Linked DNA regions of Pelodiscus sinensis. The protein of the gene in region 1 interacts with the protein of each later gene in a pairwise test. Links are inferred from orthologs where the notes say so. Each region holds a gene or a part of one and is shown in the gene's direction. Other genes may lie near its edges.

Region 1 (7,260 bases):
GTGAGGCTGAAGACCAGGGTATGAGCTGAGAAAGCTGCAGCAGATATTGGTTAGTTTGCTAAGCCTGCATCCACAGGTTGTGTGTCAAGGAGAAATATTTAAACTTCCTAATGAAGCCTTACCCCTGGAAGTGTCTACCCTTGGTCACCATCAAACTCATTCCAGAGTACGAGATGACTCCACAAATAGGGATAGGATACAGAGCCTCTCACCTTCAATTCTTGATTTAAATCGTACATACATTGATAGTGGGCTCCAAAGATCTGTTCGGCCAATATGAAGTGTTACTGTAGCTGTGTTGGTTACAGGATATTAAAAGATGAGTGAGGTAGTATCTTTTATTGGACAGACTTCTATTGAAGAAAGATATGCTTTTGAACTTACACACATCTTCTTCAGGTCTGACATGAGGCAGAGCACTGTGTAAGCTCAAAAGTTTGTGTCTAACCTCAACAGAACATTGGTTCAGCCAATATAAAATAAATCAATGGCTTCAAATGCAATTCCCACTGAACAGGTGTCCGCATCACAAAGCCACCAGCACAACTGCTCCTCTCCAACTTCACAATCTCAGGAGAAAGGCCAATAATTGAAAGAACCAGGCAATCTGATTCTCTCCTGGGCAAGGGAAGGCAAACTATGGGTGACACACAAAAGATTCAGTCACCGGGGCAACTTCTTGGAGCAGAGGGCATTATACACAATTCTCTGCTTGTGCATCAGCCAGATCCCTGTGACCTGTACATGTTGCCCCATCCCTGATTTTTCAGTCTTTGAATCCGATTTCTGGGTTCAACGGTCCCTCCTTCAACTGCCTATCAACCCAGTATTAAAATTGGCTAGCACTTCACACTAGTGATAAGTACTTTAAAAAGTCATTCAGTAACATGCTTATCTGTACCATTGCATATTTGTTAAATATTGGTTAACGGATTAGTCAGTTAACCTCATGAATTCTTATTGGTTACTCAACTATTCTATGGTCCCCAGGGGTGGGGCCGGCAGCCAGTGCACTTCAACTCCGCTCCCGAGGAGCCCCCTGCCATTCCATGAGGCAGCAGCACGGGGTGCCTGGCGGGAGCTGGTCCATGAGGGGAGCCAGTTAAAAAAATAGCTCTCCCCTCAGACTGGCTGCCTGCCACCACCCCACACTACTGCGTCATACTCTGTCCAGGGGTGCGGGGGGTGGGGGGGAGCGCAGAGAGGAGGGCTGAGCTCCCGGACACAGCACGAGCCAGAACTGAGCCAGCTGGCTCCTAATACACTTTAAATGCAGAGTTGTAGCAGGGGTCGGTCCCAGACATGGCATGAGCCAGGACTGAGCCGGGCTGCTGGCCAGCCTGCTATAAAATATACTGGCAGGGGGAAATGCGTATAGTGTATAGCATTAACCTATACGCTTTTGCTTATTGGTTAATTTACTACACCATTACATCCCTAATGCAGAGATAAATATCTGTATACCCACTTCCCCACATTTCTAGACAGAGGTGCACAAAGAAGATTCCTGTGTGGGCACCTTCTCAAGGCTGAGATAAAGAAGTAAATGTAAGTAGGTCTACTCTCCACATTGGATAGCAGAGATCATTTTTCCCTGTGGACCATCCAGTGCATCAGATCAAATGTGAACATTCAACAAATATTTACTATCCCTAAATAAAGGCAAGCCCAATCTTTCTTCTTCCCCCCTCCTCAGACCAGACCACTCAGGCCTGAGCTCTTTATCTGGCCCCAGAATCCTCCCACACACCCTTAGATGAATTCAGTTGCTCACCCATTGCCAGTGTACAGCAGCATCAAGTCTTAGCACAAGCTAGCACCTTACTTACGTAAGTGGGAACAGAGCCGAGACAGCAGAAAAGGGGCTTTAGGTTAAGCTCTGCTCTGAGGATTTGCACTGAGGCCACCAGGACTCATACTATCCTCCAAGCAACTGTCCAGATTCATCCCTAGCATGACGTTGGTTACTTGATGCAGACACAGTACCAAACTGCCATCTGACTGAATGACGCCAACCCAGGCCCTCCTATCCCTTCCCTGGGATGTCTGAGAACACGTGGACAACTCAGTTTTATTGGGAGCATTAAGTAGGGGCCCTTTTCATGGTAAACTATGCTGAGAGTCGTCTTTGAGAAACAGAAAAACCTAGCTTGTTAAAGCAGACTTTGCTAATGCAGGAGTAGGACACCATTCTGGAAATGGACACTAGAGCAATAGAGATGGAAGGAGGTGCCACACAAAGCAGGGAGATAGGACTGACAGGAACTCCTAGATGAGTGGACTAACATATCTCCTATTAACCTTAAATAGAACATGAGGGATAAGAGAGTCCAAATGACCTACATGATAGCAGGCTGCTCTGCAATACCTTATGTTTCTATATGCAAAAATGGAAACAAATGCAGACAGTAGAACTAGGAGCTACACATTTCCCTGGATGGTACTCAAGAGAATCCACCCTAGCTGAAAAAGGGATGTCAGGGAGTTGTGAAAGAATGTAGTAATAATAAGGAAGACACCAGGAAGTGAGGAGAGTGAGAAAAATCAGCAGATGAGGCCTCACCCTCTTCCTATCAGCCCTAATCCCAGAGGCTCCCTCTCTGAAGGAAAGTGGGGTTCTTTTAGACTCCTCAAAGCAAAGATTTCTGTACCTACCAACATACTTGTTTATGATTAAAAGCCCCAAACCCACCCCATCTATTTCCTTCCTCAGCAAACAGACCTGAAGGATTACAGGTGAGGAATGAAATGGTCATACCAGATTAGTAAATATCCTCTAAAGACCCCATACATCCCAGGTGAAGCACAGCTACTATTCAGGCATTGTATATGTTTTTACTTACTCTGGCTCTTCTTCCACTTCTTCCTCCTCTGTGGATGAGCCAGTTTCCTCCAAGTCTCGAGCCATCCCAACTGGCATCTCATATAGGAATTTTCATGCAGTCCAGTCACTGTGGTTCTTAGTCCCTTTCACAGAGGATCAGTGGATCTAGCCAATGCAGCTTCCTGTAATAAACATCAGGAATATGAGTATATTACTGTGCAGAATAGCCTAGAGACATATGCCAACTCAGCATAAAGAGAGGAGGCCACAGCACTACCTCAACTGTTTCCAGTACAGTACACAAATCTACATGGGACATTTATCCTGCTACTACAGGGTATAAACTAAACTATTTGGACCAGGAAAAAACTTCCATAACAGTCAGCTTTTGTACTTTCCTCTGAACCATCACTAGTCCAAGACACTTAACTACACAGCAACAAGGAGTCCTGTGGCACCTTACAGACTAACAGATTTATTGGAGCATAAGCTTTCCTCGCTTTTGCAGATTCAGACTAACATGGCTACCCCTCTTTGATACAGTGCCCTGTCTAGTTAAGTAACTTTTCACTCACAGTGATACTTCTTTGGGGCCCTCAGCCCTTATGAACAATCTCCTGCGAGACCCCTCTCGGTCTAAACTGCTCCTGTGCAGGGAGTCCCAGGATAGATTTCTGATCAGCTTCCCAGAAAAGAAAGTTACTTTCCTGTGCACGGGACTCAGAGGCTAGCTGGAAAAGGTCTGCCTGCTTCTGCATTTCTTCCTCAAAGGCTTTCCTAATAGGGCTATGCTTTAGTCAAACACACGCGATGGTGCTCCACACGGGGGTCAGACAGGAGGCTCCGATGATCTCTTCAGGTTTCACCGCCACACGGTCTGGCGCCGACCCAGGCCCTCTGGTCGTTGCCCACGCAGGAGCCTCCGACTCGCTCTACTAGCGCAGCCAGAAGGGACCTGCGGAGGGCCCAGCACCCCCGTGACGCCTCGGGGCAGGGGGGCTGCTTCCCACGGCAGCGCCCCACCCCGCGCCGTCCGCTCCTACTGGGGGGCCGGGCCGGGCTCCAGGGAGACACCTGGCCCCACAGCCGCAAGCCACAGGCCCCGCCGAACGCGGCCGCCTCGGGGCTAGCGAGCCCGGGACGCCACGTTCCCGCCGCGCTGGCGGGCGGCACCCGCAGCTTCCCCCGCCGTAGCTGGCAGCCCCTGGGGCCGCGCCATGCGCTCCCGCCTTCCCCCTGCCTACAGCCTCACCTTCCTGGGGGCATGGGATGGGCTCCGGGCAACGCAGCCCCACCGGCCACTGCTCCCTCCTCCCGACGCTTCCCCGTTACTACAACAACCAACAGGCAGGCAACCGCCTCCAATTCCCTTCTGCGCAGGCGCCAGAGGCATCCCCTCCTCCTAACACGCAGGCGCAAACACCGCGCTGCACGCCTTGCCCGCGCCACTTGCAACTTCCGCCTCCCCCCAAAAGCACGCACAAGGCCCATTTTTACGTCACCGCGCCTCAGGAGCGGAGGCGCCTTATGGTAATATAGAGACTCGTGTAGTGACCTATCAATCTATATGGCGTGTGAGTAGTGATGGGTCTAACAGCCAATCTAAGTAGGGACAGGGCTAACATGGAACCAACCAGTACGCAAACCAGTAAGGGGTGGGGCTGCTGCTGCATAGCGGGTGGGCACAGGGGAGCGGCTGGAGCTGAAGGGCTGGGAGCAGATGTGCAGCGGGGTGAGGACTGGTCGGAGGATGCGGTGCAGGGCTCAGGGAAGATAGTGGGAAGGCTGGAGGGGCTCGGGGAAGGGCGATAAAATGTTCTCTGTTGGGGAAGGGCGATAAAATGGTGATGTCAGTCGAGGGCGGGAGGGAATCGGCGCGAAGACGGGTTGGGGGACTTGTGCGGGAGATGTGGGGCACGGAGGGGGTGGGACCGGAGGAAACGGAGTGGACTTCAGCCCCGGGACAGCGGGGCAGGGAGTGTAAATCTCTCCACTGGCATTAACAAGTAGGTTGCATTAACTTGGGTGTCAGTGCCCAGCTTTGCCATGCAGGGAGCTAGATACACGATCGGTCTTGCAGACGTGAGTGATGTGGTAAGCTGTTGTCTCCAATCGGGGGAGAGAGAAAGGTGGAGAGGATGCACCAAAGATTTCTACTTCGTCATGTTCTGCCCAGGACCCTGAAGATTAGTAACTCCCTACGATGGGGCAGCAGCATCATGTTGTTCCAGGCTGCTGGACATACAGATTTCTACTCTTGCATTATCAGGGGTGTAGTGCAAGCTTTATCTGGTGAGGACTGCTTGCTCTCTGGGGACTTATGGAAAGAGAAAGGGACTTTCTGTGGAAAAGCCGGGTTCCTGGCTTAAGTGGAAAAGTTCTAGGGAGTAGAATCCGTGTGGTTTCCTTTTGTGATGATCTCCTGCTTTTGTCCCCAGAAGCAGGTACCAGAGCATGATGAGCCGTTTTCTGAACGTGTTGCGCAGCTGGCTAGTCATGGTGTCCATCATCGCAATGGGGAACACATTGCAGAGTTTTCGTGACCACAGTTTTCTCTCTGAGAAGCTGTATACAGGCACACCTAGCCTTGGTAAGGAGCCCAAGTTGCCCATCCTGCCCATCAAGAGTCATTACAATAGTAGCTATTCCTCATTTATCAGCATATTGCCCCAAGTCCTGAAGAACTTTTGTCCACATCTCAGAAGTGAGCCACAGTGCAAATCTTAACTTCCTGTATTCCACATGCTAGCCCAAACGCACCAGGGCAACCCTCTTCAGCAGTCAACCTTCGTTTTCTCTGGAGCACGCCTGCCTGTCTCCGCTATACTAAGGATGTGAACGACTAGTTAATACACTAGTTGACTAGTTGCTTCCTCCCACCCTTGCTGCCTCTATCAGAAAGAGGCAGCAAGGTGGAGGAAAGAGGATGGGATGCTTCAAAGCGGCAGCGCCACGTGGAGCCCGGGACCAGACCCTGGGCTCCATGCGGCGCTGCCTCTTTGAAATGCATGCAGTCAGATGCCAGCTGGGGAGTCCCCAGTTGGCCTGGGCTGCACACAGCATTTCAAAGCGGCACTGCTGCATGGAGCCCAGGGTTGGGCTCCGTGCAGCACTGCCACTTTGAAACGTGTGAAGCATGGGACCAGTGGGGGACTGCTTTGAGTCCCCCGCTGGCCCCGTGCTCCCTGCAACGCTTTCTCCCTGCAACGCTTTTCCCTGGGGCTTTGCTACACTTCAAAGGTGGAGGCTCCCTTATCAACTAATCGAATCATCGATGCAATTTGCATCGACAATTCAATTAGCCAGTTAATCTAAAGCTAACATCCCTACACTGTACTGTCTTCTACTGTGCTATTCAGCATCCATAGCAATGCTTCTGATTTAGTGAAGCACTGGAACCAGCCTTGGTTCTTTTTCTCCCTTGAGGGTCTGTGGTTACTGGAAAGGGGAGCACGATTCCTAGCAGCTATTTTCGTACACACTTATCTGCCCTTGAATCATCTAGGAAATCTTGATATGGTGTAACTCTCTACCTGGAAGTAGATTTTATGTTCTTCCTTCGCTCAACCACTTGGTCGAGCCTGTAGAGATGGTAGCTCATGGGATGGAGCATTCATTTACCTCATTTGTTTCTTCTCTGCACAGTGAATGGTCTCCAAGCTCGGACTTTTGGCATCTGGACTCTACTGTCGTCAGTGATTCGCTGCTCCTGTGCTATTGACATTCGCAACAAGACGTATGTAAGGGAAATGCCAGAGAAGGGTGTCCCTTTTTCCCCATAGTGTACACTTATCACTGCTATTACTCTTAAGTCCTCTTATGGGGCAGTTCTGGCCATTATCAATAGCTGCTTCTTGAAATCCCCTTGAGTTCCTCTTGATGTAGGGGTAGACAGTCTTCCCTTGAAATATCATAACAGGTAGCCCCATATGGTGGATTAATCACTGGTCTCTAAGGGTATGTCTACACAACAGGGCTAAACTCGAAATAAGATATGCAACTTGAGCTACGCTAATTGCATAGTTTAAGTCGAAAGAGCTTATTTTGAATTTGGGCGCATGTACACAGCACTTATTTTGAAATAGATCACTCTTCCTCTGACTTCCCTTAATCCTCGTAAAATGAGCCTTAGAGGAGTCGGAGTAAGAAGTCTTCCAACTAGACATTAATTCAACATTGTCAAAATAATTGCTTATGTGTAGATGCGCACTTTGTTATTTTGATATAACATCAATTATTCAGAAATAACAGTGCTGTGTAGATGTACCCTTACTGAGCAGCTCTTGGAGTAAAAAGTTTAATTACTACCCCCTGAATCCTAGAAAGAGGAGTTGCTCACTTGAACCTAGTTCTTAGATCAAGCTGATAATTAGCAGAGCTGACACAGCCTTTTAATCCTGTTTCTGATCCTCATTCTGGAACCCTCAGCCCTGGGG
Region 2 (7,393 bases), on another chromosome or scaffold:
GTTCCAAGGTTTTCATATTACCCAGCTGGCCAGCATGAGGCAGGCAGCATGGTACAGCGGGGCAGTGTACTGAACTGGGAGGTTTGCAACCTGGTGTCAACTCCTGACATGTCCACTGACTCATGGCTTGATCTTGGGAAAGCCTGTGCCTCAATTTCCCCATCTATAAAAGGCGAGCAATGAGACCGACCTGCCATCCTAAAGTTTTATTGATGAAAGTTGCGACATCGTGTCCTTAATAACGCATGGAACACCGTGACTCGCAATGCGGGGAATGGGACCTGGAAGTCCTGGACACACAGCTTCAAGCTTAAAAGACGGTCTACTCCCTTCTCGAGTTAAATTAGGAAAGTGAGAGTCACTGCCTGCCCATAGATTCCTAAACTTTCAAGAGAGTTTGGTTTGGTTCCTACATTATCTCACCTCCCAGCTCTGAGGCCAGAAGACTGTCTAGAGCAGCGGTTCCCAAACTTTTTGGCATCACACCCTGCTTTTTGATTTTTGAAAAATCCTCACGCCCCCCCCCCCCCAAATAGCAGCAAAACTCGTTGAGCAAAAAAAAAAATGGAAAAAAGGAACTGAACAGGGCAGCAAAACCTGATTGAGGGGGCAGGGCTGGGTCACCTCATGCCCCCCCTGGAATTTCTTCACATTCCCACCCGGAGGCACGCCCCCCCCGTTTGGGAACCCATGGTCTAGATCCATTGCATCTGGAGCCATGTATTCTGCCAGCCATACGGATTCATCCACAGCACAAACACCTTGAATCATTGAATACTGGGACTGAAGGGGCCTTAAGAGTCATCAAGTCCAGTCCCCTGTCCTCACGGCAGGACCAAGCATGGTCTAGACCAGTGGTTCCCAAACTTTTCGGTATCATGCCCCCTTTTGGATTTTTGAGACACCCTCATGCCTCCCCCCCGCAAAAAAAGCAGCAAAACTTGTTGAGGGGGGAAAAAAGGAACTGACGAGGGACGAGAAACAAAAATAGCAGCAAAACTTGGGGAGAGGGGGAGATTGATGGGGGGCTGGGTTGCCTCATGCGCCTCCTGGAATTTCTTCATGCCCCTCCCCCGAGGGGCACGCCCCCCCCCCCGTTTGGGAACTCGTGGTCTAGATTGTCCCTGACAGGTGTCTATCCAACCTGCTCTCAGATAGCTCCAGCGCTGGGGGCTCCACGTCGTCCTTCGCTAGGTTCTAATGACAAATGGGCGATCGTTATCGTGGTTTCCAATCACATCGTCTTCCAGCCTCCTTCACCATTCGCTCAGTTACGTCGATTTGTGGGGAGTGGACGGAAGCCAATCCCATTCCAGGCACATCCCATTGTCCGGGCGCAAGCAGCCACTGCCCTGGCTGTAAGTTATGATGCTGCCGAAATTGGTGGTCCTACCTCGTACAGTTGACAGACAGACACACAGACCAAGTCTCGCAAATATAGAGTAGATATAATAATATATAAAGGAGCAGAGGGTGACCCACTAGAAGCTGGAGTCAGGCACCCAGTGGGCTGGGAGGGCGGCAGGGTGGGGCAGGCTCTGGGGCTGCTCCGGCTCCCATTGCCAGGGTGAGTTGGGGGGTGGGGTGACCCCCTACAGCCACCCGACTTCTGGTAATCCTCCAGCTTGCATCCCATGGGACGGGGGCAGAGCAGGGGAGGGAAGGAACACAGCCGGAGTGGGGCTTGGGGGAAGAGGGGCGGGTGGAGCAGAAGTGGGGTGGGGCGTGTCCTGTAGTGGGGCACAGGATGGGACTTTATAGGGATGAGGGAAAAAATGTACTTGATGGAATTCCCATTTTAAAAATCAATAAATTAAATGGGCACCTTTTCACAATCCCCTTCTAAAGACGTCTGAAATAATAATTAACTTCATCAGAATAATACTGTAGTTAGGAAAAACACAATCATTCCAACAAAGCATTCACATTAAACAAACCAACCAACGAACCTTCATTAAGGCCCCGAGCAATACTGGGTAGGTCTGCTCGTCTCTGTATGAACACGCCTCGAGATGGTCACCAATGGCAGGTCTAGGACCATAGTTGCTCCTTCTTCTCCAACGTCTTTCTGGTTCGACGGAAGCAGCTTCAAAGGACGAGTGTAGCCCACACATCTCAGTCCCCACCCAGAGGCCCTGCCCTATTGCAACCAGGGCCCTGAGCTTCTAGGGGGTTAGGGTATGTCTACACTTGCAGCCTAATTCGAACTAGGGCTGCAAAAGTAGGCATTCAGAATTGCAAATCAAGTCCGGGATTTAAATATCCCACGACGGATTTGCATCTTCCCATCTGGGCGCCGTTTTTTGAAATTTACAAGCCCAAAGTAACTGCTTCCTGCAATGAGGTTCCTCCTGCAATGAGGTTTAACTGGCAGTTCGAATTAGGGCTTTATTTCGAACGCCCGTTTCACTGCCGCATGTAGACGCGGGCAGTTACTTCGGGCTTGTACATTTCAAAAATGGCACTCGGCCGGGAAGATGCAAAGCAAGGGCGGGATATTTAAATCCCGGGCTTGATTTGCAATTCCGCATGCCTACATTTGCAGCCCTAGTTCGAGTTAGGCTGCAAGTGTGGACATGCCCTTATTGTTTGCCTCAGAGGCTCGCGGTCACCTCCACCAGCCTGCCTCTTATGGCTTCTAGAGGCCAGGGTTATAACTTACTGAGCCAAGCTCATCACTGGCAAAGTCAAAGGATTGGGGGAACTCTTCCCCCCTCCCGTAACCCTGGCCTTCCTTTCCAGGAACAGACTTTTCTTAGTGGCTTGGGGGGAACCGGACCTGCCCACTACTCCGGTTCCCGCCCAGGGACCCTAGGCAGCGGCCACTAACAGAGTTTTTCCTCGAGCCCCAAGACAGCAGCCCACGTGCCCAAAGTACCTTCTCCCTGGGACCTAGCGAATCTTTCCTGCTTCAGCACAAACACTCCATCCTTTTCGCAGTCCCTGGCTCTCCAGCAAGGCGCTTCCTCCTCTCAGTCCTTCCCTCTTCTCCTTCCCCCTCGCCTGGGGGAAACCTTTCCAGGAAACTCCACAGGCCTCAACCAGCTGCAGGTGCCTGATCAGCCTGCTGCTCCACTAACCTCAGGTGCCTGCCTGCCTTGATTACATGGCCACAGTCTCTGGCAGTTTATTCACGGAACTAGAAAGCCGTTCACCCAGCTCCCAGCATGTCTGCCCTCCACTCCACTATTGGCGCCAGCTCCCCTGGCTCCATCACACGAACTTGAGCTATTGCACCCCACCGTCAGTGCACCACAAGCCTGACCCGCAGTCCTCAGGGCTGTGTGCTCCCACACACGGAACACAGGGCTCCCCCACACGCGTGCTCCCACACACGGAACCGAGCCAGTGTGATCCTGACCCATGCGTCTCCCCCACGCAAACCCGCTGCTCCACTCCTGGCCTCCCACCGGCACAGCTGTGCCCAGGCATGAGGAGAGATTAAAAAGACCGGGACTGTTCAGCGTCGAAAAGCAGAGACTAAGGGGGTCTGTAAGATCATGACAGCTATGGAGAAAGCGAATAAGGAAAAGTGATTTGCTTGTTCCCATAAGAACTAGGGCTCACCCAATGAAATGAATAGGCAGCTTAAAACAAACCAAAGTTTTTCTTCATGTAGCACACCGTCAACCTGTGGAACTCCTCGCCAGAGGATGTGGTGAAGAGCAACTTTAACAAGGTGCAAAAAAGTGTGAGATAGATTCATGGAGGATAGGTCCATCGATGGCTGTTTGTCAGAGGCTGGGAATGGGTGACAGGGGAGGGATCACATGAGGATTCCCGGTTCTGTTCCCTCCCTCTGGGGCACCTGGCATTGGCCACGGTGGGCAGACAGGACGCTGGGCTGGAGGGACCTTTGGTCTGACCCCGTCTGGCTGGTCTGAAGTGTTTATCTAGACGTGGTTCTGAACAGGATGGCCCAGCGTGAAAGCGAAACATCTGCAGACTCTGGAGTTTGGAGCCAGGTCTGATCCTCCCTCCATCTCGCTGTGTCGCTCTCCATCCCGACGCAGACCCAGCCACCTCACTACGTGTCTTTCCTTTCCCTCCCGTCGCCCATTCCCAGCCTGGGACAAACAGAGGCCAGGGACACCACACCTCTCCTGCCCAGCCTGGCTCGTCTCGTCCCCCCAAATGCTGCCACGTCCGTTTTCTCCCCTCCCTGCGGAAAAGGCCGGTGGGGGCGAAGAGGAGAGAGGAACGGCACCGGGGGAGGGTGGGGCCGAGGGCAACGCTGCCCAGCGAGTGCAGGAGCGCCTGAAATTGGCAAATGCCACGGTCGCGGGTGAACAGTCGGGGCAGGGTCTGAAGCCAGCCGCGGCTGGAACTGGAGGGAGCAATGGATCAGGTTTCCAAAGCCCCTGCCCCTCCTCCGTCTGCAGATGTTCTGCCTATATATACACACAGGGAGCGTGATCGCACCCCGCACCCTGCAGGGAGCCGCACACGGCAGCGCTTAGGGGCATTCCCAGCGCGCCCCAGGATGTGGGAGCTCCGCTCTGCAGCCTTCGCCCGGGCTGTCTTCGCAGAGTTCCTGGCCACGCTGCTCTTCATCTTCTTCGGCCTCGGCTCTGCCCTCAGCTGGCCGCCGGCCCCCCCGGACGCCCTGCAGGTCTCGCTGGCTTTCGGCCTGGCCGTCGCCACGCTGGTGCAGGCCGTGGGGCACGTCAGCGGGGCCCACCTCAACCCGGCCGTGACGGTGGCGTGCCTGCTGGGCTCCCACCTCTCCTTCCTCAGGGCCGTCTTCTACGTGGCGGCGCAGCTCCTGGGGGCGGTCGCCGGGGCGGCGCTCCTGCACGAACTCACCCCGCCGAGCCTCCGGGGACAGCTGGCCATCAACAGGGTAAGGAGGCCACCCACACGGGGGGATGAACAGGAGTGGTGGGTGATTAGGGAAACTGAGGCAAAGTGACGCGAGGCTGGGAATAGAACCCAGGTGTCCTGCTACCCAAAGCCATGTTCCAACTACTAGACCACACTGCCTTCTAGTAGTAGCAAGTGTCTGTCCAACCTGCTCTTAGATATCTCCAGCGATGGGGATTCCACAACCTCCCTGGGCAACTTATTCCAGTGTTTAACTGCCCCAACAGGTAGGAAGCTTTTTCTAATGTCCAACCTAAACCTTCCTTGCTGCAATTTAAGCCCATTGCTGCTTGTCCTGTCCTCAGAGGCCAAGGAGAACAATTTTTCTCCCTCCCCCTTGTAACACCCTTTTAGATACTTGAAAACCGCTAGCATGTCCCCTCTCCATCTTCTCTTTTCTGAACCAAACAAATCCAATTCCTTCAGCCTTCCCTCATCCATCATGTTTTCCAGACCCTCCGTCATCTTTGTTGCTCTTCTCTGGTCCTAATGACCCCAGGTGTCCTGACACCCAGCGCCATGTTCCAACCTCTAGGCCATACTGCCTTCTAGTTGCGGAACTAAAACCCAGCAGTTCTGGCTGCCAGACACCCTTGTTCTAACCCAACTCCCTCCTGCTGGGAATGAATCCAGGTGCCCCGACAGGCGGTACGGCGTTCCAACGGCTAGATCGTGCTTCCTTCTAGCGGTGGGGATACACCTGGGATGTCTTCGCGCCCAATTGTCCCTGCTCCATACAGTCCCCGGTGCTGCTCAGGAGAGCAGCCAACAAGCGGCAGGCAATACACAGCCAAGCGGGCATGAGAGCGGGTTGGAGTTCCTAGCACAGCCGGGAGAACCCTTCTCGGGAAGTGTATTACACCACCGATGCAATGCCCCTGTGTCTAGTGAATCTGGCATATGGGGCGGGGGTCTTCCTTCCCGCTGGTATTTCCTGGATGCTGGTGGCATGAAAGCTGGCACGACAGTTGTTTTTTTAACACGACGGCATCAGAGGAGGCTGGTTAACGCTCCACTGCAGGGAGATCGGACGTGTTTTCTCACGACCCTAGGGCAGGGGGCTGGACTTGATGACCTTCTAAGGTCTCTTCCAGCTCTATGGTTCTATGATTCTATGACCTTGCTGAAGAAATTGGTGGATGCCGCGACCCAACAAAATGAGACTGGCGTGTGGGGCAGAGGAGAGGATCTTTGGGGTGTAGGAGGGGGCTCTGGCTGGAGGGGGGGTCACCTCGAGCGGCCTGTAGGAAGAAGGGATACAGTAGGCTGGGATACCACACGTGAAACGAGATTCCTTCCCCGACAGGATGGCGCTGGAGTCAAACCTCCGTCGCTTGGATAGCGCTAGCTCCAGGTTGGTAAAGGGTCTGCGTGGGGTGACAAAAATCAGGCGACTTTCGCGGGGCCCCGGGCAGCCGGAAACGTGCTTCTTGGTTTAACTGCAACAGCGGAGAGCGGAGGGGAGGGGGGAGAACTGGCTCCATAGGAAGTAAGGGAGAAGTCAGAGAAAACCTCGCTAAGCCCTGGATGGCCACTGGACTACCACGTTGCTGCGAATGGGGTTCTCGTTCCCAAGTTCAAGGCAGGTCAGCTACGGCTGTGATCTGCAGTGTAGACGTAATCTGTGTCTAGACCAAGCTGCAGCCACACCCGTGGCAATCCAGAGTTCCGCAATCCCTGGGTTTACACCAGTGGACTGCAGATCAGCACCCAGCCACTGGATGGTGTCGGGGAGCCCAGGCTGGTGCTCCAGCCCCGCCCCTCCTTGCAGGGCTCTGATTGGCCCTCATCCTGGACAATAGGAACAGCAGGGGGCGGTGCTTGGGAGCGGCGGGGGACCCGGAACCGTGTGCATCCCTGGGGAGCTGTGTCCCAAACCTGCTTCCCGGCAGCCCCCTCCCATACACTGAACCCCTCGTTTTTAGCCCTACCCCAGGGCCCTGACAATCTGGTGTGCGAAGGGAATGTGGGGCGTGTCTTTCTGCTTCCCCGTCAAGGGCCACACCAGTGAGGGTTTTTTTTCTCACACATGCAGCCCCCAACTGATTTTTCTGTGGGTCAGCAGCCCCCCAGGCTCAAAATAGGTTCCCCACCCCTGATCTAGCCCTTAACCTTCCTGGGAGGCAAAGAGGCCACACAGCAAGGGGGGAAAACCTGCAGGTGGACTTTCTGGTTCTGGATAAAACATCAAGATTTCAGTGTGTAGCAGAGCATGTGTCGGGCTCCGGCAGTGTCGCTGGCCCAGAGATAAGATCTCAGCCAGGACTGGCAGCACTACAAATTGGTCAGTTAACACGCAACCTCCAGGGGTACCGCCCTGGAGATTAGCTTAAGGGAACGTGGGTTAGCTACGGGTCACCCTGTATATTGCAAAACCGACACGGCCGCAGGTCACGAGTGACATGAATTTTGTGGGTCTTGTGAGCGTCCTTCCTGGGTCACCTCACAACTACCAGACAGCTGGATGTAAAGTGGCAGGATCGCCTTAAAAAGAGGCACAGGATTGGACTAGCGCCCAGGGAGAACCAGG

Evidence for each region.
Region 2: the proteins of ERG28 (region 1) and aquaporin-2 interact in binary tests that used the Homo sapiens proteins (3 or more experiments, as listed by UniProt). The link is inferred for Pelodiscus sinensis from reciprocal best matches to the Homo sapiens genes ERG28 and AQP2.

Annotation. Positions count from the first base shown.
Region 1 is NC_134714.1:43,679,255-43,686,514, forward strand, and holds the start of ERG28 (ergosterol biosynthetic protein 28 homolog), read left to right. Parts: upstream 1-4,248; 5' UTR 4,249-4,354; exon of another isoform or gene 4,355-4,744; intron 4,745-4,981; exon of another isoform or gene 4,982-5,116; intron 5,117-5,262; exon of another isoform or gene 5,263-5,265; 5' UTR 5,266-5,278; coding exon 5,279-5,414; intron 5,415-6,469; coding exon 6,470-6,560; intron 6,561-7,260. Other genes in the region: tubulin polyglutamylase TTLL5, read right to left, coding at 2,844-2,920.
Region 2 is NC_134729.1:1,739,816-1,747,208, forward strand, and holds the start of aquaporin-2, read left to right. Parts: upstream 1-4,392; 5' UTR 4,393-4,483; coding exon 4,484-4,843; intron 4,844-7,393. UniProt on the Homo sapiens protein: Forms a water-specific channel that provides the plasma membranes of renal collecting duct with high permeability to water, thereby permitting water to move in the direction of an osmotic gradient. Plays an essential role in renal water homeostasis.